3 linked regions of the Pelodiscus sinensis genome follow. The protein of the gene in region 3 interacts with the protein of the main gene of each other region in a biochemical or structural test. Links are inferred from orthologs where the notes say so. Each region holds a gene or a part of one and is shown on either strand. Other genes may lie near its edges.

What was found. The genes of interacting proteins can lie anywhere in the genome.
Region 1: the proteins of AHR (region 3) and ARNT form a complex in vitro, tested with the Homo sapiens proteins (14 studies listed by BioGRID, with this or other methods). The link is inferred for Pelodiscus sinensis from reciprocal best matches to the Homo sapiens genes AHR and ARNT.
Region 2: the proteins of AHR (region 3) and HSP90AA1 form a complex in vitro, tested with the Homo sapiens proteins (2 studies listed by BioGRID). The link is inferred for Pelodiscus sinensis from reciprocal best matches to the Homo sapiens genes AHR and HSP90AA1.

The regions. Positions count from the first base shown.
Region 1 is NC_134734.1:21,819,296-21,827,014, forward strand, and holds the start of ARNT (aryl hydrocarbon receptor nuclear translocator), read right to left. Parts: upstream 3,011-7,719; 5' UTR 3,005-3,010; coding exon of another isoform or gene 2,866-3,004; coding exon 2,844-2,865; intron 1-2,843. UniProt on the Homo sapiens protein: Required for activity of the AHR. Upon ligand binding, AHR translocates into the nucleus, where it heterodimerizes with ARNT and induces transcription by binding to xenobiotic response elements (XRE).
Region 2 is NC_134714.1:22,309,282-22,317,225, reverse strand, and holds the start of HSP90AA1 (heat shock protein HSP 90-alpha), read right to left. Parts: upstream 3,011-7,944; 5' UTR 2,851-3,010; intron 1,351-2,850; coding exon 1,192-1,350; intron 1,095-1,191; coding exon 728-1,094; intron 435-727; coding exon 301-434; intron 1-300. UniProt on the Homo sapiens protein: Molecular chaperone that promotes the maturation, structural maintenance and proper regulation of specific target proteins involved for instance in cell cycle control and signal transduction.
Region 3 is NC_134712.1:202,993,696-203,001,537, forward strand, and holds the start of AHR (aryl hydrocarbon receptor), read right to left. Parts: upstream 3,015-7,842; 5' UTR 2,605-3,014; coding exon 2,549-2,604; intron 1-2,548. UniProt on the Homo sapiens protein: Ligand-activated transcription factor that enables cells to adapt to changing conditions by sensing compounds from the environment, diet, microbiome and cellular metabolism, and which plays important roles in development, immunity and cancer.

The DNA of each region.
Region 1 (7,719 bases), on a different chromosome or scaffold from region 3:
TCCACTTTTTAATACCAAAAGGGAAAAAAGGGGTCAAAGCTTGCAAGGACAGCAGCAGACAAATAACTTATCTTACTAACATTAACCTAAATGTATACAATGCATAATTACTCAGAGTAAATACCTTTTCCTGTTTAGAGAATCAAGCTATTATTGGTGTGTTTGTCAAACTGTAGCCATGAAGTTATAAATGAGGATGGAAAACTTGTTCTTTTGACATGTGAATTCAGCAATGTTTAAAGAGTGTCTCGAATGCTAAATATCATCCAACTCAGCAGATGAAGTTGCATAAACATTTTGTCATGTGTGAACAATACAAAATACTCATTAGTGTACTTACTTTTCAGATCACAGAAGTATTATTGTACTACAAAATCTGGTTTACTTTATGAAGTGTTTCCTCCCCCCCAGCTTTACTGCACCAGGCAATGGATTTAACTACATCTCTTTTGCTCTTGAAATTGCAAGAGAAACTTCAACACTAAAAACAAACAAACAAAAACACCAAAAAAAAAAACCCCACCACCCTGGCAGACAAGAAGGGAGCAATCTCTTTTATAAAGCTCCAGTCCTGTCAACACCTACATGCTTAACTTTTTTTATGTTGAGGAGCTTCTTTGATTTGTGAAGCACATGTGTTTGCAGGATTGGGGGGTAGGGAGGTCTAAGTTTCAATCTGTTGCCCTATTCTGACCAAATGGCAACACAAGCGTCAATGATTCAAACAAGGGGAACTGACTTCAGTATGTTGTAGAATTTCAGTTCTTTACATGTGAAACCACAACCACGTATTTCTAGACGTCAGCGCTGCACCCTAGCCTCAAGATCACCACAAGCTAAAGACCCAAGGTGCTTTCTCAATGTTGAAAGCCACAAAAGGTTACTATACCAAATTATGTTTAGCTAGAATGAAAATTTCATCCTTCAAAATTCTGTTTAACAATATTTGATGAATGTGAACCGCTCTCACAGCCCAAGACCTAATCAGCCTCAAGCCACAAATGAATATACAGAAAACACCACAATTCAAAGAACACAAGCAGAGGTCAAAATTCGAATCCGCTACAACACTGTAAATCCACAATAACTCTACTGGCATCAGGGAAGTTACATCAGATATACACCAAAACAAATGAGAAAGTTTTAGCCAGAAACTTATGAGGCATGAAAGATTCAATTATAATCAGCAAGGATCAGAAATACCAGATTTCCCCCACACACCCATAAAAAAGAGCTCCTGTGTTAGGCAGAGTTTAGAAAGTTAAAAGCACACTAGCACTGCCTCTCTTGCCTATGTACATTATCAGTTTTGCCTGTCAATCAGTTCAGAAGAGATGAAATGGGATATTGTTTTTATTGCCATGAATTACAGTTTGCAGTGCCCTCATAGTTTAAGCAATTAATAACAGTAGATTTTATTTCTTGCCAGGGCAAAAACAAATCAACATATGTGCAGAAAGAACACCCCAATGTAAGCCATTAAAATAACAATTTTTTTTAAGATAATTTTCTGGAGTGCACTTACTGCATGCCAGCCAGCAATGAATTCACAGAGATGGGAAAGAGACCTATCAAAACAGACTGGGCTGTTTGCATGTGTGCGACCTTGAAGGGAAGCAGGGTCTACTTCGAAACAAGCTAGCCAGCAACATAATCCAACAAGGAGTAAAAAGCAGCAGGAAAAAATTGGGGGGAGGGATTCACTGGGAAGGGGTTGGTCCAACCCCACCTCATGCATTACTGTTAAAGGCTCCAGCCAAGCCTCCCCTCTAAGCTTAAATATGACACCCACCGCAACCCTCTGCCTAGAACAGGGTTTCACCATAACATTTCAAAAAGGTTGCCAAGTGTCTCTGCCCCCCCCCCCTTGTTGAATTGCCTTGGGTCACCAAGTCTTCCTGAATTGTCAAAATGGGACCCCATCTGGCCTAGAGAATCTGACCTCCGCCACCTTGAATTCAGTCCATCCATCCACAGCACTCCTCCACCCACTCCTTCCCACAGCCTCCCCTTCCCCTGCTTTCCCTCCCTCAGCCTCCACACCCCTCCCTATACACCTCTCCCAGCACTCCCACCAGACACCCCTCCTCCAAGACACCTCCCCCCCTGCACTCTCCCAGCCACCTCCTCCCAGCCACCCTTTCTCCAGCCACTTCCTGTACCCCGCTCTCCCCAGACCCCCCTGCTCTCCCCCTAGACGCCACATCCCCTCCCCCAACCCTCCCAGACATCCCCCAGGCCTCCCCCTAGACACCGCCCCTCGCCCCAAGCCTGCCCCCCCCAGCCGGCCCCTCTCCCAGCCTGCCCCCCCCAGCCTGGCCTCTCTCCCCAGCCGCCCCCCCCCCCAGCCTGGCCTCTCTCCCCAGCCGCCCCCCCCCCCAGCCTGGCCTCTCTCCCCAGCCGCCGCCCCCCCCCAGCCTGGCCTCTCTCCCCAGCCGCCGCCCCCCCCCAGCCTGGCCTCTCTCCCCAGCCGCCGCCCCCCCCCAGCCTGGCCTCTCTCCCCAGCCGCCCCCCCCCCAGCCTGGCCCCTCTCCCCCCCCCCAGCCTGGCCCCTCTCCCCAGCCTGGCCTCTCTCCCCCCCCCCCCCAGCCGGCCCCTCTCCCCAGCCTGGCCTCTCTCCCCCCCCCCCAGCCTGGCCCCTCTCCCCAGCCTGGCCCCTCTCCCCCCCCCAGCCGGCCCCTCTCCCCAGCCGCCCCCCCCCTAGCCTGGCCCCTTTCCCCAGCCGCCCCCCCCCCAGCCTGGCCCCTCTCCCCAGCCGGCCCACACCGCCCTCGCCCTTCCCCCGTGAGCTGCCCGGGGCCCGGCTCTCCAAGCCCCCCCGCGCCCCGGGGCCCCGCACTCACCCGGGTTGGCGGCGGCTGCCATCGCCCCGGGCCGCCCCCCCTCGCTCGCTCGGTCCCGCCGCCACGTCCAAGATGGCGGCGCAGAAAATCCCTCCCCGTTGCGGCGTAGCCGAGCCTGCCCGCGCCGCGTCCGGGGGCCCCGCTCCCTGGCCCGTCCCCATTGGGCAGGGAGGGGAAAGGGGCGGGGCCACCTGGAGCCTCGGGGAGGCTGCCTCCGCACGCGCCTCCCCAGCCCCGCCCGCGAGGGGGCGTGGCCAGAGGGGGGGCGATTTAAAGGGCGAGTTTGTTGTCAGGGTGCGTGGTTGGGTGACGTCACCGGAGTGGTGGAGGAAGGATTTAAAGGGACAGGAGCCCGGTTTTTTTTCTTGGGGCGGGCGGTTGTGCTGAGCCTGGGGCTAAGCGCCCCCCCCCCACCTGGGGCTGAGTTCTTTCCCCCACCTGGGGATCATGTGCTTCCCCTACACACACATCTGGGACTGAGCCTATATACCCCCCACCTGGATCATGTGCTACCCCTCCCTCCGCGCACATCTGGGGCTGAGCCTATATACCCCCCACCTGGATCATGTGCTACCCCTCCCTCCGCGCACATCTGGGGCTGAGCCTATATACCCCCCACCTGGATCATGTGCTACCCCTCCCTCCGCGCACATCTGGGGCTGAGCCTATATACCCCCCACCTGGATCATGTGCTACCCCCCCCCACGCACATCTGAGACTGAGCCTATATACCCCCCACCTGGATCATGTGCTACCCCTCCCTCCGCGCACATCTGGGGCTGAGCCTATATACCCCCCACCTGGATCATGTGCTACCCCTCCCTCCGCGCACATCTGGGGCTGAGCCTATATACCCCCCACCTGGATCATGTGCTACCCCTCCCTCCGCGCACATCTGGGACTGAGCCTATATACCCCCCACCTGGATCATGTGCTACCCCTCCCGCCGCGCACATCTGGGACTGAGCCTATATACCCCCCACCTGGATCATGTGCTACCCCTCCCTCTGCGCACATCTGGGGCTGAGCCTATATACCCCCCACCTGGATCATGTGCTACCCCTCCCTCCGCGCACATCTGGGGCTGAGCCTATATACCCCCCACCTGGATCATGTGCTACCCCCCCCCTCCGTGCACATCTGGGGCTGAACCCATACCCCCACCTGGATCATGTGCTTCCCCGCCCCTGGAGGCTTAGCCAATACCCTCCCGCACCTGGGGATCATGTACTTTCCCGCTTACCCAGAGCAGCGCTCTCTCCCCTCCCCGCCATACACTTCCCCTCCTCTCGTCCTATAATCTGGGACTCGGTGCTTGCAAACCCTCACATACCCAGGAGGGACTGGGCTGACCCAGGCAAGGATGTGACAACCCTTTCTGTGGATGACCTTGCAACAGGCTGCTTTTAGTGGAGGGCTCCAGCATGGGAATTCTCAGCTCTTAGCGAGTCTGCTGGGGCCTGGATTTGTTGCTTACCCAGGTCCATTTCTTTGGTTTTAAGTTTTGGAGAGATTTATCTCCATTATTCTGCCAGGTTTTCCCCCGACAGCCAGGGAGCTAATATTGCCAGTGGCGGCTGCAATTTTTGAGTGAGGCGGCAAGGGGCAGACCTTCAGTGATGGGAGAGTGTTTTTATTTTGGAAAATGAACCCTTAACTTCCTTGGCCTTATAAATTATTAACATCAATTACATGAGCCTGGGTCATGAGGAGGAAATTGGCTCCCCCGGGGCTTTTGCAAGTGAGGTTATTTTTAACTCCACCTTTGGTTAATGCAAAAGAAATAAGCCTTCCATTTCTGTAGCGTCTTCTGCACTCCCCAAACACTGTATGGGCTATGGCCTCAACCCTGCAAATTAAACTTTGCAACACAAAAGAAGGCAAGTGTAAGAGGGATGAGGCACTTGCAGCAAACATGGTTCCTTGCAGTGATGTGCAAAAACAGATGCACCCGGCCACACAAACCTGCAAATCCCAGAAGGCCAGACCTGTGTATTCCATGACCCACAGCCTCTACATCAGCTCTGGGGCTCATGACGGTCTTTCCAGCTCACAGACTCACCGTGTCGTCAAGGTTTCTCACATACTCCGGTGCCCTGCTACCTCATTCCAGTAGCATTTACTTTTTCACAGCTGTGCCGCCAGTAGCCAGGGGCACTGAAAAATCAGCACCTCCTCAACTTGTCCTTGCCTTTCTCCACCTTTCATCCAACACTTCCCGTGTACAGAGGCTGTGGGGGGGGTCCAGGAACAGTGGGACAGTGCCTTGTGGATGGCTGATCTCCCTTCCCAGAGAAGAGTAGAGACCCAGGCACTCAAGGTCCTTTCTAGGTGCTCGTTCGGTGAAAAGCCAGCTCTGAAATATCCCACTCACTAGAGTACAGACTTACCCAGTTGGTTAGGTGTCTCATTCGGTTTTGTTTGCATTCCTCCAAAACATTGGGTATTGTTATATTATCAGATCTGACAGACCTATTGTCTGTTCCGGGTGCTGTCTGTACCTCCCTGCATAAAGGAGCTAACCCGGCTTCCAATAAAGTCCACCCCAAATCTGCCGTGGACTTCAAGGGAGGCAGAATCGGAACCAAGATATTTAGGGCTCACTTCCTCTGGACTCGATCCAGTGCCCATTCAGGTCAATGGGAGTCTTCACATGCACATCAGTGGGTGATGGATTAGGCCCCAGAATAGTCCATTAAGGAGATTCTTGCACTTTTCTATGAAGCTGCTGGTATTGGCCATTGTTGGAGATAGGACACGGACTGAGGAGGGCAACTGGTCTGATATGATGCAGCAATTCCAACAGAGGGCACCAGCATTAGCTGTGTCTGTTTAATCTGCTGTGGTCTGGTCCAGTGGTTAGGGTATCAGTTTGGGAGGCCTAATACCAGCTCAGCTGTGTCACCTTTGTGTCCCTTCCCCGCCTTTGTCCATTCAGGCTGTAAGCTCTTTGGGGCAGGGCCTGTCTCACCTCTCACCATGAGGATGTGGTACCACGAAGTTCCAATCTGGGCAGCGGGGGGGGGGGGGGGGCTGCCAAGTCCTGAATAAACCTGAGATTTTCTTGCTGCCACTTTCTTCTGCTCTCTGAAAGGTTCTCAGTGAAACACGGCAGGTCAGGTCAGAGAAGGCGGGGGAACTGTTCTTGCTCCGTCCCTGGAGTTGGCCTTCCCTATGCTCGGGATGTTTCTGAGGGTGTTTGTCCCTGTTGGCTACAAGTGACCTTTGCTTCTGCTTATCCAGTAAGGTTTATGTAATCATCTTATCTAGCAGAGTTCATCTAATCTGATCCCCTGTTGGGGACCTGGCTTGACTCTGGATTACACTGGGGACGTCTCCCACATGGATGTGATAAAAATGGCCTTGGCTAGGCAGGGCTTGGTTTTGCACGAGTTCTGATCCTCTCTGTGAAGGGTATCAATGCTCTCCACAAAGCCTCTCTCCAGAACTGCTCCTCACCCCCTGTTCAGTCCCAACATCCTTTTTGCGTCCGGATCGGGAAAGAGGAGGTTTACGACGGGAGCCTGTTCCCATGGCGTTGCTACAGCGGCCTTTTCCACAGCTCCTGCTGCAGGACTTTAAAAAGGACGTCCGATGCCGGGGGTGTACGGAATGAAGGGCATTTCTTCCTGGCACCTCAGCTGGGGATCGAATTATGGGGTGGAGCATGAGGCTGCCGTCTCGTTTTCATCCTCGCCGGCACGATGGCAGCTGCCATTCTTATTTTCATAAGTACCACATCTCCGTTTGTCCCCATGATAAACTAGACATGGTCAAAATCTGCCTCCCTCCTCCCTCCTCCCCGCCCCAGCAAAAAAAGATCCCATTGAAAAATGGGTTTAAGCAAACATGATTTTTTCCACTGGAAAACAGCATTTTTAGGCCGAATTTCAGTTCCAACTTCGAAAAGTGTTCAAAATCGGCCATTTTTGGCTTTGCTCCCTGTGACCGGGACCCTGGTAACTGTGTAGCTTAGGCAACCAGGGGCTCTCTGAAGGAGAGGACCCTGGAGTGTGAGCCAAGTGGACAACAACTACCCCCGCTAGGGGGGCTCAGAGACAGGGGTGGCCCGTCCATATAGGCGAACTAGGCAGTCGCCTAGGGCACCAAGTTAAATGGGGTGCCAAATGGTGGTGAAATATCATTGAGGGATTTGGGGGTGGGGGTGCCAATTGCGTGGTTTGCCTAGAGCTCCAGTTGCTGGCAGCTAGTCTAGGGCTACCCCTGCATCAGAGACTAATATGGGCACTGCCGGAGGGTAGTGTCCCAAAGAGGATGCTATGAGCGGGAGAAAGAGGGGAGATACCACCAGAGGGAAGGCACCCAGCTGGCAAGAAAGAGCTAATTCCCAGGACAGATGGCTGGTGGCGCTGTGGTGGTGAGTTGGCCCTCTCACACATGGACTATCCCAGGGTTTATAAGAGAACTAGATAAATTCATGGAGGTTAAGTCCATTAATGGCTATTAGCCAGGATGGGTAAGGAGTGGTGTCACCGGCCTCTGTTTGTCACAGGGTGGAGATGGATGGCAGGAGAGAGATCGCTTGATCATTCCCTGTTTGGTTCACTCCTTCTGGGGCACCTGGCACTGGCCACTGTCAGCAGACAAGGTTCTGGGCTAGATGGATCTTTGATCTGACCCAGTATGGCCGTTCTTATGTTCTTACAACCAGGTTACCAAGGAAGAGTGTGGATCTATTCATCAAAGCTTTAGGCTACGTCTAGACTGGCATGATTTTCCGCAAATGCTTTTAACGGAAAAGTTTTCCGTTAAAAGCATTTGCGGAAAAGAGCATCTAGATTGGCACGGATGCTTTTCCGCAAGCGTCCGTGCCAATCTAGACGCGCTTTTGCACAAAAAAGCCCAGATCGTCATT
Region 2 (7,944 bases), on a different chromosome or scaffold from region 3:
TTAGGTTACACATTTTACACCCTATTCTGTGGCTGTCAAGAGAATCAGGTCTGAAAGCACTGCTGTTTGGCAGGAGTCCAACAGCAAGTGCGTGTGGTGGAGGGACAGGGGAGAGAAGATTCTTATTTAGGATTTGTAGACAAATGTCTATACTACACATTAAGAGTCATTAATATACTTATATCTGGTCCATCTGACTCCAGAATCATTTTTGTAAGTTATTATGGCTAAACCTTGTACTCACTTAACATTCTTTACCACCAGTTAAAATTGTGTTAGCTTTCCAAGCTGAACACTTACAAAGAGTGTAATTGGATAGCCAATAAACTGAGAATGCTTCTTCACAATTTCCTTGATTCGTCTTTCTTCCAGGTACTCAGTCTGGTCCTCCTTAAGATGCAGAATAACTTTCGTACCACGGCCAAGAGGTTCCCCTAGAATAAGGTTTGAGTTTTACAGTAAGCACCAGTAAATGTTTGGAAAGATGTTTAAGACAAACAGAAGACTACTGCTATGGTACTATTGTAACTGGCTTACAGCTTAATTAATTTTGCTGCAGATTAAGATATATCACCCTTGAGAAGCAGTTATTTTAACTGTCATTCTAGTATTACAAGATACTATATGCTACAGCTGTAGCACCTTGAAGAGCCTTCTATTCATGGATTTCCTTATACTATAAAGGACTACTTTAGAACTACCTCTACAACACCAAGTTAGCACTTACCATTATCAAGTCTGACAGTAAATGATCCTCCAGCAGAAGATTCCCAAGCATACTGCTCATCATCATTGTGCTTGGTGATCACTGTTACTTTTTCAGCAACCAGGTAGGCAGAGTAGAAGCCAACACCAAACTGACCAATCATAGAAATATCTGCACCTGCTTGCAATGCTTCCATGAAAGCTTTGGTGCCAGATTTGGCAATAGTACCCAGGTTGTTAACCAAGTCTGCTTTGGTCATCCCTATGCCAGTATCCACAATGGTCAGGGTGCGATCATGCTTGTTGGGAAGAAGGTTAATTTTCAGATCTTTTCCCGAATCTAGTTTGCTTGGATCAGTTAAACTCTCATATCTGATTTTGTCCAGAGCCTACAAAACAAGAATACAACTATCAGACCCCTCACCACACTACCTGTATTTAAAGGTAATAATGTCACTGATTGCATGTGACATTTTTCTTACTTACATCTGATGAATTAGAAATCAGCTCCCTCAGGAAAATCTCCTTGTTGGAATAGAAAGTGTTGATGATCAGAGACATCAACTGAGCTATTTCAGCCTGGAAGGCAAAGGTCTCCACCTCCTCCTCCATTGGCTGGTCTTGAGTCTGCACAGCTTCTGGCATCTGTAGAATTAAAATGAAGTTATAACTTTAAGCTCTTAAGAATGGCTCTTAGGTGAAGAATACTAATGTTTGCTCCGTTTTATGTTCAACCACCTAAACTGCTGTTAACAAGCACCACCACTTTGGGAAAGGGTCGTGGACAGCATATAGCATTTTAAATATTCAACTAAGAAAGACAAACCTAACTGGTATGCTCTTCCTGCTGGCAGCAAAGGGCAGTCCAGCTCATTTATAACCCTTGTCTAGGAAGGCCTGTCAGTGACAGATAAGTACAAGTCTCAGCTCCTCAAGAGGACGAAGGTTTAATGTGGCAGTAATTTGTCCAATTGCCTACCATGCATCTTTAAAACTCAGAGCATACAGAATTGCAAGAACAATACTAAGTGCTGAATACAGTAAGTTAACATTACAGAATCTAACTTTCAAAAATTAAGTTTCACTTTATACAACATTTGGATCTAGAATGTGACTTGCAAGACATACCTGGATAATCTGGTTAGTGTCAAATAGTCAATTTTTTTGTTTTGGCTGAATACTCAGTCCTACTGGGAGCTTTCTCCTAAAGACCACAGAACATTATAGCTCATACACTTTCAGCTTGTAACAACACAGGTTCTTTTAACAGAGAAGAGTGCCATCTCTTGCTAGGTATCTATACATCAGAGGTAACAATCTATTGGTCATGCAGGAAAAACTGGTTTTGCCAGTCAGGGGAGCCCAGTGCCATGACTGTTTAAACTTGCACTGCAGCATTTAAATCAAATCCAACTGAAGGGAGACCTCACTAGCTACTTTTCCATTGCAGTAACTAGTAAAATGCACTGCACTACAGATAGCCACCGAGAATTGGGTCAGTCCAGATCCCCAAGGGTACTTTCTACAGCAGTTCAGGCAGGCTAGACACCACAGGCATGGGAGAGTGGGCACTGACAAACATGGGAGCACAGCGCCCCCTACAGATCCAGACCTGGAACAGATTCTAGAAACTGCGAGAGCCTTCCTCTCCTCCCCCTCGTTCCACCTCCACCTCCCCCCCCAGCCGCAAGCGCAAGTCCCGCGCCCAGCGGACCCTCCCCTCCCCAAGCCGGTGCCCCCCCCGTGCCGCGCGACAAGCCCTCTTCCCAATAGACCCCTCCTCCTGCTGCCGGTCTCCATCATCCCCCCCCTGCATGTGAGCCAGGCGGGTACCCAAGGGGGCGGGCCCCCTACATACTGCGTCTCCCCGCTCCCACCTACTCTTCCTCCTCAGCAGCCACCTAAGGGCCACGAACGCCCCTTAACGCCCAGCACCGCTGTGCGCCAGGCACTGTGGGCTGCGCCCCTCACATCGCCCCCCCGCACTGCCCACCCCCGCAAGCAGGGCAGCCTGCTCCACCACACGGCGCGGAAAGGCTCCGCCATCAATCTAAGCCACGGTTCCAGGCTCAGCTAGAGAACGAGCCCGTTGAGGAAAAAACCATCCTGGGGTCGATCTTCCAGCCACCGCTCCTCGCGCCTCACCTTGGCGGTGAGTGTTCTTGGGGCTCCTGCTCCTCTAAGTTAAGCGTCCTCCTCTTTCCGCAGTAACGGAACTGGCGGCTCGCCGCCCCCCGCCCGGCTTATATACTCCCGGCGCCGCCTCCTTCCAGAACCATCGGGAACCTTCACTGACAGGCACGGGGGTGGGTAACTCCAACCTTCATCACTGGGGGAGGGGCTGACGGAGGGGGGCGGTTGCTGCGATCAAAATGCGCGTGCGCTGGGCGAACCGTTCTCGGATTGCGCATGCGTTTTTCGTCTGGCGCCTCGCTGAGGCGACTGCGCATGCGTCATGCGGAGCCCGGCTCGCACGCGCGCTCCATTTCCAATTGTCGCCTCTGAAGACGGGGATGGGAAATGCGCTTGCGCGAGGTCAACTGTCACCGGTTGGCTTCGGAAAGGGCGGGGAGAGCTAGTGCGCACGCTGCAAGGTGACTTCATTCATTGCAAGCCGGAGCCGATCTCCTCCCCTCCGAACATCCTAGAAGGAGGCGGAATCCATCAGCCTCTGTAAGTCCCGCCTCTCGGGCTCTGCCTCCCGCCCTCACCCTGCTTCCCGCAGAAGGTCCTAGAAGCAGCCAGAAGCGACGCGCTTCTCTCTGCCTCCCGCACCTCGTGTGAGAGCTGGGGGGCGCTACCCCGCCTCCAGCTGCGTTTCCCTTCAGGGTCTCTGCGTTTCGGTGCGTGGCCCCGGGGAGCCCCGTCGCGTGCTCCCTTCCATGCTTCACTGCGCGACCCCCCCCCCCCCCCTTCCTATCATGCTGCATGGCTCTAGGGCGCCTCTCCCCCCGTTCCGCGTTTCATGCGTGGTCCGGGGTGCCTCTCCCCCCATGCCACCTTACATGCACGGCCTTGGGGCGCCATCGTGCCCCGCTGCAGTGTACAGATCTGGGGCGCATCTTCCCCATGCCACGCCTCAGTGCATTAGCCTGAGACATCCCCTCAGGCTCTTGCGTGACTCTAGGGTGCCTCCCCACACTATACTGCATGGTACTGCGGCCTGGGTTCGTCACTGCAGCCCTGAGGTGATCCGCATACACGACTGGGTGGCTTTGGGTCACCCACAACATGCCATGCTGCACTGAAAGTTCCTGGGGCAGCCCCCTCACATGTCACTTTGTACTGAAAGATGTGGGGGGCACTCCCTAATCTCACCACATACTAGCTCTTGCCTGTCTACTGCATTGGGCTTCACTGGTGCTTCTCTGCCTAGCTGCTACCTCCCCCCCCCTCTTGTTGCGCTTCCTTCACTAAATTTAGGACTTGACTGCCATGCAGAGAGAACAGACCTTGCATTTAAAGTAAAGGGTTTAATAGTCTAGTTCAGCAAATTTTGAGCCCAAACGAAACAAAATCAGAAACTGAAATTTTTAAAAATTGAAATCCTCCCCAAAAGAAAACATTTTGAGATGACCAAAATGTTCCACTTAGAATTAAAACATTTAGCTCTTATTTTGACCTTTCAAAATGTTTTAGATATAAATCAGTGAATTTCATGTGAACATATTATAGCCCCTTCATTCTGATATTTTTTCCAAAATGAAATTTCACTTAAAATGGATACCTTTTGTCACTTTTGAAAAAAGCAGATTTTTTATTAGAAAAAATATTTAAACAAATTTGCCAGCTGCTCTATCTCCAAGTCTTAATATCCTGATTTTGCAGTATGATCCACATACGCAGAAATGACTGGAGTATTAGACCTAAAGGCCTGAGTTTTTGTGTGATCCCTTGATCTCAGTGATGATTGTGGGCTTTCAGAACCTTTCAGAATTGAGCCCAAAGAAACAGACAGAAAATAGTACAGCGAGTAGGGCTGCAGAAGTTGCACTTCCCTGGCTCATCTCCCCCAGATTACGTATCCACTACTGGGGTTTCTGTACCCAGATCTACCCTGGGCCCTGATCCTGCAAAGATTTATGTATACACTTAATTTTTACGCAAATTGGCAGTTATAAGGAGGAGAGTGCTTTTGTCTTTGCAAGATCAGGGCCTTAGTTTGTAGTGTGCATGTCAGTGATGTGCAGCCTTTTTTGATCTGCAATCCCCAAGCTGCGGGGGCTACCAACTGCTGGGTCCAGCCCCCGGCCAGCCAGATCTAGGCACTGCACCATGGGGGCTACTAACTGCTGGGCCCAGCCACCGGCTGGCTGGATCTAAGTGCCGCGCTGCGCCCAGCCAGCTGGAACTAAGCACCACACCGTGTGGCTGCCAACGGATCTAAACACTGTGACCCCCCCCCCCGGAAAGATATCTGTGACCTCTTTGGGGGTCACGACCCACGGGTTGCGCACCACTGGTCTATGCCAATAGCCATATTATTTTCTTAGTTTTCTATTTTAAAAACCATATTATTTTCTATTTTAAAAACCATATTTTCCAGGATTTTTTTTTAAGAAATCTTGATTTATGTTCAGCATTTTTCAAAGATCATAGTCACTAGCATTTTGCCTATATTTAATGGCTACATTTATTTCTAGCTTTCAAAATGGCAGGCAATATAAAATCCATCTTAGATGGATTTTTTTCAGAATTCTTAGAAAAATCCACTTGGAGGAAAGTGTTCACATACCAAACTTAAACTGCTCAATTCAGCATCTCCCTCTCTGCTTAAGTCCTATCCACATGCCAGCCTGTGCAAGTGTAAAGCTAATATTTTATTTATGAATCATGCTTAGATGCTGTACTCTTTTTGTTGTATTATGTGACTATAGTAACAACTATAGTGGTTAAGCTACATATAAATCTCTTTTTCATTATTTTCCAGTGCTGAAATGTCAGAAGCTTTATTTGTTTCAAAATCTGATATTTGCAAGTGGGGGGTGAGAGGTGGAAAGACAATTGAGCAAAAATAGTCAGGTGTGTTTGAAAACAAAAAGACTGAAAATGTACTTTTCCTATTATAACAATATGCAATTTTTAAATGTTTATTTGTTATCACTGTAGTTCCAAACATGAGTTAAGGAAACTGATATTATTACATTGGACTAATTACCTATCATTGGAGAACAAATAAAACAACAGGTCTAATGTCAGACTTGTTGCTGATTTGGTGATTTTTCATTGTTGGAAGGAGAAGTGCCAAAAAAGCACAGTCCTTAACCTGAGGAACATCAACCTTTTATCTTGCTCTTATAATAGTCCATACCTGTAGACACGAACAACCTCAGCTTTTTGAAAATTCAACTCTAATCCAAATGTTATGGACGTCATGCTCTGACTATGACATACCATGCTATAGGTATGCCTCTGACTACCAGATGCTGGGACTGGAGAATCGTGATAATTACCCTGTTTTATTCATTCTCTCTGAAGCTTCTGGCATTGGCCTCTATCAGAAGACAGTATACTAGGCTAGATGAACCATTTGTCTGACACAGAATGGTCATTCCTTTGTTCTTGGCTTCTGCCCACCTCTAATCAGAAGCCACCTCATAAGACACCATACAGTAGTAGGTCAAATGTGCATTGAATTTGATGGTATAGATCCTGATGCTGTAATTGCATCTGCACAGATGGAGCTTTATTTTTTGAGACTCATAGTTGTCTGCTGTGATACAGTCTTTAATTACATGTTCACATACTACTTGGGCTGAAAGACTCCATGCCTCAGTCAATCCATTAGGAGGATGGTAGAACAGAAGATTGCAGGAAAAGAAAGATTAATGTCTTGTATTCAAGACACTTGATTAAAATTCAGTGAATGGGTTTCTATTCCTATCTCTGCCACAGGATTTCTGTGCATTCCTGAGCAAGACTTTCATAATACATAAACACAAGGAGGTAAAACTAAGACTGCATGGAAATTTAATTATAGCATTTTCTAACTTCTGAGTAATTGACTTTGTATCCTTCCTGTTCTTTTACAGAATTTTTTAGGAATGTAAATCTATTTGCATTCTTGTATCATGGCCATCATAATGTTATTTGAGTGTTTCAGGTGTGAGGTACGGAAGGGAAATAGAATTTTAGCATCTGAAATTGTTCACAAAAATAGATCCCAGAGAGCTGACATAATGAGGAAGAGTTGAAATGTGAAGCTGGATTTTTTAGCACCTTCTGCTATGGATATAAAACCTAGTGGTGGCCTAAAGAAGTGCAGACCCTGTTAAGGATACCGGTTTGCAGAGACGAAAATGGGCCGGTACCCAGTACAGGCTGATATAGCATACCGGTAAGAAGTGGCTGCCAGTACTTGCCCATACATCGTTGACAATAAAGTGCTGTCATGGCAGTACTGCCGGACCCTATCCTGGGCCCTTTAAATTACTGCCAAAGCCCCAAGTGATACGCACTGTGCAGTGCTAAAGGGGAGGCTGGCAGATGCTGGTCCGGAGTCCTGCCCTTCTCCCAAAGCTCCATGCGGCTCCTGTCCTGGGAAGATTTTTAATTTACTTTCACCACTGCATGACTGAGCAAAGGTTTATGCTTTGATAGTAGTTTAACTGTAAAGTGCTGCCCCTACTGCTAAAAAGCTGTGCTGTTTCCTAGATTCTCAAGCCTTGTAACTGACTATGCAAAGTTATATGGGATACAGGAGGATATGTAACTCAAAAGAGTGATCCATAATACAAGGTTTGATAGCCACTTCTCTCATTACAAAGGATTATCTAAATTCCCTGAGTAAATCAGAATAAATTTAATCTAATTTTTTAATAAAATGAAGTTGCTGTGCTGAACTGTAGCTAGCAGCTACAAAACTGAATTATGTACTTTTTGTGTTTCAGTTTTCATGAGTCAGAAAGTCTAGTTGAAATAAAATAACTACCTAATCTTTCTTTGGACAAATAATATAAATTGGACTGTAAAAATGGCCTAATTCATTGTCCAATAGAATGCTGTCAGACTTTTGCACATGGGTACACTTGACATAAGAGGAGTCAGAAATTCACTACTTTACAAGTGATAAGCAGAATTTATTAAAATCTCAGCTGCACAAGAGAAATCAGTATTTTATCATTATCAGTGGAACTGGAGTCAGAAGGCCCATGTTCCCTGGAGGGACTGCTGTTCAGGGTAATGAGCCACATGCAGACTTTGGAGAGGTTATGTAGCCAGTTGGACCATAGTTTTTTA
Region 3 (7,842 bases):
CCCTTTTTTTGGCCAAGAGTATGAACTTTGATCAGTTTTTAACTGGGCAAATAAGAACCCTCAGGCCTGCAGATACAGTGTTGCCCACAGCTGCTATCAGAATATAGATAAAAAGGCAGTATAAAATTAAACAAAGAAAGGGAAATAAATAAGTAAAGGTAGACTGAACAAACAAAATAATCTTACATAAGTTATTTGTCAATCCATCTGGATAGTAAATAATACATATAACTGTTTTTTAAACACGTTATAAGCCAATACAAAATTATGACTAGATTAAAAACAAAAATATTTAATATTTAAAAAGGTTTATTTTCCCTTTTAGTCCTAAAAAAAGGGAGCTCTTTTATGACAAAGACACCTCAAGACTAATTTTTTTAATTTAATTTCCACTCATATGTTGATTTACATAACAAAGAGTCTTCAGATTCAAATATGGTAAGTGTTGCAAATTAGAATAAAGAATATAAAATACTAAGCAACTTTAGGATCAGACATTTTTATATGAAGGTATAAAAATACTGTAGAAACAGTTTTCAGATCTGATTAGAATTTATTAGCAAACAAAGCATTAAGACCTCTGGTCAAAAAGAGCGAATAGCTATACAACAGATCCTTAAATCAAGATTTGTGTGTGCTTTAAAGGATTAGTCAAGAAAGTATGTAAACAGAGCTGGAAAGTTATTTGCAGTAGGGCAGGTGCTACTGCGCTTGCGCATAACTGTAGGAAAAGTAAGTATTTCCTATATACTTCTATATCTTGAAACAGGGTAAGTATTTCCTATATACTTGTATATCTTGAAATAGGGCAACTATTTCTCTCTAAATTATAGATTTATATTGCTTAACAGTTCTATAACTTCTATATTTTAGCTTGGAAGTGACTAGCCGCATTTACATTAAGTAATTTACTGACACTTCTGCAGAGTTTTGGTAGAAATCATCATATACATTGCTTTTCACTGATTAATTCACTCCACAAACATAACAGAATTTCACTTAAAGCAAAATATCCATGTATAGAAATATTTCAATAGCAGCTGCTGTGGTTGAATATGCATTCAACTGATCCAAAACAGGGAGCTGAATGATATAAAGGAATTTGCTTACTCAAGTATGTTAGAAGTAGTTGTCTTTTCCCCCTCATCAGCTCAGTAGATTACTTCATAAATTTGTGGTTAATTTATGCATCTTTATGTAGTAGATAAATGTGAAAGTTAACAATTTCCTTTAAAATTAATTTCAGATTAAAGGAATCTGCTAGTGAATCAGGTACAGCCTTGGGCCCAATCCTGTCTATACTTGTGTAATAAAACTAGCTTTACTCAGGCAACCAAATAATAATTTTATTTTTTTTAAGATGCGGCAATAGTTTCTGATTTTTATGTTTGCTTGGCATTAAATGAATATAAATTATAATGGCAAAATAAAAAAACTTTAGGAAAAAACTATTTAAATATTCCCAAAACAGGATGACATGATTACACATGATCTATTGTCATGTCCCAAGCACCTTGTCAGAGACATCCACTTTCAGAAACCATCACTCTAGATATATTACATTTTAGGGGGTGGCAGGTAGTGGATCTAAAGTATAAGACTTCATACAGAGTGTAAGTGATTAGTTAAAAGTCACAGTACCAGACAAAATACAGGACTATGTAACACTTTAAAGACTAACAAGATGGTTTATTAGATGATGAGCTTTCGTGGGCCAGACCCACTTTCTCAGATCACCAGAAAGGACACCAGAAAGTACCAGACAAATACACTGCAGCAGTGACTTGTAACCTACACACATATCCAAGTGGGGACGAGAAGGGGCAGCCGTGCACCCAACACAACTACACATACACTCGCCGCAGCGCAGCTAAGCAAAACAAGAAATTGCTCCATCACTGTGACCAACAGGACTTTTTTTTTAAAACTGCATGTGTCGTTTAATTACGTTTTCACAACTAGTTGAACTGGTGGGAGCTCGGGTAGCCATCGCTAGGGACAGCCACCTTAAATGCTTCCTAGTCTAGGTCAGGTAACCCAGCCACATTGAACCTAAAGTCATTTCTTCTTCCTTCCTTCCTCCCCTCCCCCGCACCCAAGTCCTCATTCTCCCTTTTAATCACCATCCTTACACAACTGGGTCATCGGTGCCTGTTCACAACAGGACTCTGAACGTAACTAGCTACAGACTTCCCTGTTGGGGGAGGAGGCTGAAAAGGGGACCTCCCGGAGCCCCACGACTAGTCACGCCTACGCCCAGCGTTGTGGCAAGGGGGCCCCAAAGCCGCCGAGAGGGGAAAAAAGCCCCGCAAAAGCGCACCAGGCACTGCAGCAAACGGCCCCCGGGTAACCCCTGCCTGCGGTGCTGCAATCCCCCAGCTCCCGAGGCCCAAGCGCAGCGGGCTGCAGACTCCCACACGGCGCTGGGGGAGCGGGGAGCCGCTGCGGGGGGCGCAGCCAGGGGCCGGTTTGGGTGAGCCACTGACAGCCCCGCTAGGGCCAGGAGCTTCCCCCCGCCGCCCCTGCTCCGCCCAAGCTCGTCTCTTACATTTTCTGCACCGGCTTCCGCCGCTTGCGACTGGCGTAGGTGACATTGGGGTTCATCCTGCCGCCGCGGCTCCCCGCACCGCAGCCGCGAGTCCCCGGCGAACCCGCTCGGCGCCGCAGCCCGCAGCCGCCCGGCCCTGCCCTGCCCGTCTGCAGCGCGCCGAGCGCGGCTCCGCTCGGCCGAAGGAAGGCGGGAGCCCAGGTGATCAGCGCCGGCGACACCCACCAACCCGCTGCGGCCCCGGGGACAGGTGCGGGGGCGGCCGGGGCTTTCCAGATCCCCCTGCCCGGCAGCGGCGGCTTCTCCTGGCGGGGCAGATGGAGGCCGAGCCAGCAGCGCGCCCCGAGGCTGCCGCTGCAGGGTGCGACGATGCTTCTGCCCCGGTGCGGCCGCCGCGGGCCAGGCAAACGTCTGCCACAGTCCGCCGCCCCCGGCCGCTGCCGCCGCGGTCGCAGAGCCAGCCACCCAGCAGCCCGGCCCCTGCTCTCCACGCCCCGCGGGGGGAGGCTCCGGCGGCGGCCTACGTGAGGGAGCCGCCTGCGCCGCCATGTTGGGAAGGTCAGGCCCGCGGACATGCCCCGAGAGCCGCCTCCCGCTAGGAACAGCCCGCCCCGCACGCAGCTGGACGCCGCCTCGCTAGCGCCGCCAGCAAGGACAATGACCCGGCCCCGGACCTTCCGACAGGCCCCGGCGCTGCTCGCGTCCGGGCACCGCCCGTAGCTCCACAGCAGCGTGAGCAGCCGCCGCAGGGAGGCAGGAGCGGGGTGCTGGTGGGGCCTGGGCCTGCTCTGAGTCCTGCGGTGCGGGGGAAGGAGGGTGGCTCGTGCTCTCCCCTCAGCCCATGATTTCCCCTGTTTCGTTCGGGGTGTCAGAGGCGCAATCAGCCGTTGTGGCTTTACATTTTTAAAGGAAAAACAAAATTATTGCAAGCGATACGGGCTGCTAAAGCGCTCCTCCGTCTTGCTGTTCAGGCACAATTGTGCCCTTTCGTTAAGGGCTGTGAAACAATGAAATCCTGTCATGGTTAAGTGTGAGATTTAAAAGAAATAATTATTGGCGGTTTGTCATACTGTTACATGATCCATGTATTCTACTGGTGTTTATTTATGTTTACATTTGCAGAGATTTCAATTGCATAATGTACAGTGCTCATTCTATATTTTTATTTGCACTGTAAAAAGATAATTGTATTTTTCAGTTCATCTCATACAAGTACTGTAGTGCAGTGTCTTTATTGCAAAAATAATTCCACTATTCCATTAATTCCACTAAATTGCACTATTGTTTTACATAACTGCACTCTAAAATAAAATATTAACATGTCATCTGATAGGGTGGCTGAAGTATGAAGAGGCATATAAATATTTAGCAAGTCTGGCATGTAAATTTACCTTGCAACATTGCCTTCAAAGAATCTCTGTTCTCACTTTCAGGTGGCATTGTAAATAAGCAGGCAGCATTATCCCCCATAAATGTGAAACTTTGTCTTAGCCAATTGCTAACAAGAAGTTAGGACTGACTGAGTGGACTTGTACGTTTTTTAAGATTGACCTTGTTTTGTTTTTGAGTGTAGTTATGTAACTAGAAAATTCTACATTTGCAAACCACTTTCATGATGAAGGAACTGCACTATAGTAGTTGTATGAAGTGAATTGAAAAATACTATTTCTTTATCTTTTTACAGGGCAAATATCTTAAATACAAAATAATATAAAGTGAGCACTATTCACTTTGTATTGTGTTGTAATTGAAATGAATGTTTGAAAGTATAGAAAGGCATCAGATATTTATAATATATTCCAGCTGGTATTCTTGTTTAACAATGTGATGAAAATGGTGACTAATTGCTATATTTTTTTTAAAATCAAGTTATTTCTCTTGACTTAATCACAATAAACTCAAGCAATTAACAGTTCTAACTGCCTATTTTTTCTTCTCCCTTCTACATATTCATTTGAAGAGAAGGCCAATTGATAGGCAAGGATGACAAATAGGGGTAGCTCAGTGTGCAGCAATGCATAGGATTGACTAAAGTAATTGATTAAAGTAATTCAGATCAGCAAGGTTCTTTTCCCCCAAGTAATAATACAGTTTGTCAAAACTCAGCCAGTGGCAGCAGTCTCTAACTAAAAAGCAAATTATATACAAGTCTGTGCTAAAATAAAAACCCTGCTTACTTGCAGTGAAAGAAAAGGACCCAATCTTGCTCCCATTGAAATCACCTGCACAGTTCTCATTGGTTTCCAGGGAAGCATGGGCCTCCAAAAGAGAAATGAATTAAAGAGAAACATATTTTTCTTGCTTTTAGGTTTCCCCAGCACTGTTCATTTTAGAGTTCTCTACTTCAGCCACAAGGAGTGAGAAACTGAGGCAGTGTCTTTGGTGTTGCTTACAGGAGCTTGCCAGAGTGTAAGGATTAAAACAATTGGTAACCCCATCTGCATATTTGTTCTGGGGTTATTAAAACCAACACAGGATTCTGCAAATCTTTCTGTTTGGGTTTGCTGATAGATATAATTAACGATAGTGCATATATTAATATGCTAAGAGTAATTATGCTGTGTAATTGCTAAGAGAATAGTTTAGTGTTTATGCAAATCAGACAGCAAGAATCAACAAACACATGGAACTCTATAACTGCAAAGCTGTACAGTTAAGCTTCAGTAATTCTAAAGCTTCCCTGCAGCTGATTGTCATTACAATATTTGTTCAGTATTGATAGTATGCTCAATTCAGTACAAAACAGAAGGTGATAATAGTCCTTGTACTGAGGAAATTGCAATCTGAATAGCACAAAACATTCTGGTCAATTATCAGTCTTTTTTGGTGACTCAGGTGTTTACTTCTCAACCTATGGGTGTGGCAAAATATAGCAAAGCCACTGTATTGACTTGACAGCTAAAATAAAATTTTAAGAGGCAGCAAATTCCAAAGTGAGTTATAAAACTATATAGAAAATATATTTAGTACATGAAGCTTACAGAAACTTATTGAAAATGTAATATAACAGAATACAAAGTATTTCTTGAGTAGGTTTGTTCTTTTCTCATAAGAACAGCCATACTGGGTCATACCAACAGTCCACCTAGCCCAATATCCTGTCTGCCGACAGTGGCCAATACCAGATGCTCCAGTGGGAGGGAACACAACAGGTAATCCACACGTGATCCCTCTGCTGTCACCCATTTCCAGACAAATTCTCCATTTGTTTTGTCATATTACTGGCCAAACAGACCTGTTTCTCCACTCAAATTGATTGCCATGTCCATGGCAGCTGTTTCCTATTTTATTTACCACCTTCAACTTCTTCCTCAGACCCATTTACTCTTGTTTCTCCCCATGTAAGATCTTACCAAGATTTTTCAAGGAAAAGATCAGCAAGATGCACTGTGATCTCTTTCCTTGCTCTTTTCCCACCTTTTATATTCTTTTCTCTTTTACCCATGACCAAAACTGAGATTTCTTGCTTGTTCTTTTCTCCCTCCATTTATCACGAACCTCCCATTCCTTTCAGCCTATTAAACTGGCATAGCCCTGTTGTAGCCTCCTCCTGCCTTAACCTTTCAATATTATCTAGCTCCTTTCACACTCACTACAAGCAAGTTGTGATCTGCCCTATCCACAAAATAAATTCCTTGATCCAAGCTCTCTTGCAAATTTCCAATCTTCATTCTCTTTTTCACTGCTAAGCTCATTACAAGTTGTTGATACAGTTGTTGACAAACTCCGTTGTTGACTTTCCCTTCGTGAATCCATGTTGACTATTCCTAATCACTTTCCCCTCTTCCAAGTGCTTCAAAATGGATTCCTTAAGGATCCCTTCCATGATTTTTCCCGGCACTGAGGTAAGGCTGACTGCTCTGTAGTTCCCTGGATTATCCTTCTGCCCTTTTTTAAAGATGGGCACTACATTTGACTTTTTCCAATCATCCGGGATCTCTCCCGATCTCCATGAGTTTTCAAAGAATGGCCAAAGGCTCTGCAATGACATTTGCCAACTCCTTCAGTCCCCTCGGATGCATTAAATCTGGACCCATGTATTTCTGTGCGTTTAGCTTTTCTAAATAGTTCCTAACCTGTTCTTTCCCCACCAACGGCTGTCCACCTCCATCCCTTTGAATTAAAGCCCTAAATCAAATTAGCTGTTAAACCTCATTCCAGGAGGAATAACAGCTAATTCGATTTAGAGCTTTAATTTGGAATCCCGTTTCACTGCCGCGTGTAGACGCGGGCAGTTACTTTGGGCTAGTCAATTTCTAAAATGGCGACCGGCCGGGAACATGCTAATGAAGTGCGGGATATTTAAATCCCGCACTTCATTTGCAATTTCGGTCGCCCTCATTAGCCTCCCTAGTTTGAACTAGGGGGCTAGTGTAGACATACCTTAGGTTACCTCCTTCATCCAGTAAGGGCCCCACACCCTCTCTGATCGCTCTTATTGCTAACATGCGTGTAGAAACCTTTCTTGTTACCCTTCACATCGCTTGCTAGCTGCAATTCATATTGTGCTTTCACCTTCCTGATAACTCCCCTGCATTCTTGAGCAATATATTTATATTCCTCCCTACTCATCTATCCAAGTGTCCACTTCTTGTAAGCTTCCTTTTTTTTAAGCTCACCAAGAACGTTCCCAGTAAGCCAATCTGGTCACCAACCATATTTGCTTTTCTTTCTGTGCATTGGGATGGTTTCCTTCCTGTGCCTTCAATAAGGCTTCTTTAAAATACTGCCAGCTCTCCTGGATTCCTTTCCCCTTCATGTAAGCATCCCTGGGAATCCTGCCCATTAGTTCTCTGAGGTAGTCAAAGTCTGCTTTTCTGAAGTCCAGGGTGTGTATTTTGCTAATCTCCTTTCTTCCTTTGGTCAGGATCCTGAAATCTACCATCTCATGATCACTGCTTCCCAGGTTGTCACCTACCTCTACTATTTCCTTCCTGTTTGTGAGCAGCAGGTCAAGCTGTGAATGGCCCTTGGTCGGTTCCTTAAGCACTTGTACCAAGAAGTTATCCCCAACATTCTCCAAAAATGTCCTGGATTGCCTGTGTACTGCTGTATTGGTCTCCCAACAGATGTCAAGGTGATTAAAGTCCCCCATGAGAAGCAGGGCCTGTGATCTGGAAGCTTCTCTCGATTGTCTGAAGAAAGCCTCATCTACCTCATCCACCTGATCCGGTGGTCTATAGCAGACACTAACCACAACATCACCCCTGTTGCTTCTACCTCTAAACTAAGTCATAGACTCTCAACTGGCTTTTCTCCCTCTATATACTGGAGCTCTGAGTAATCATACTGCT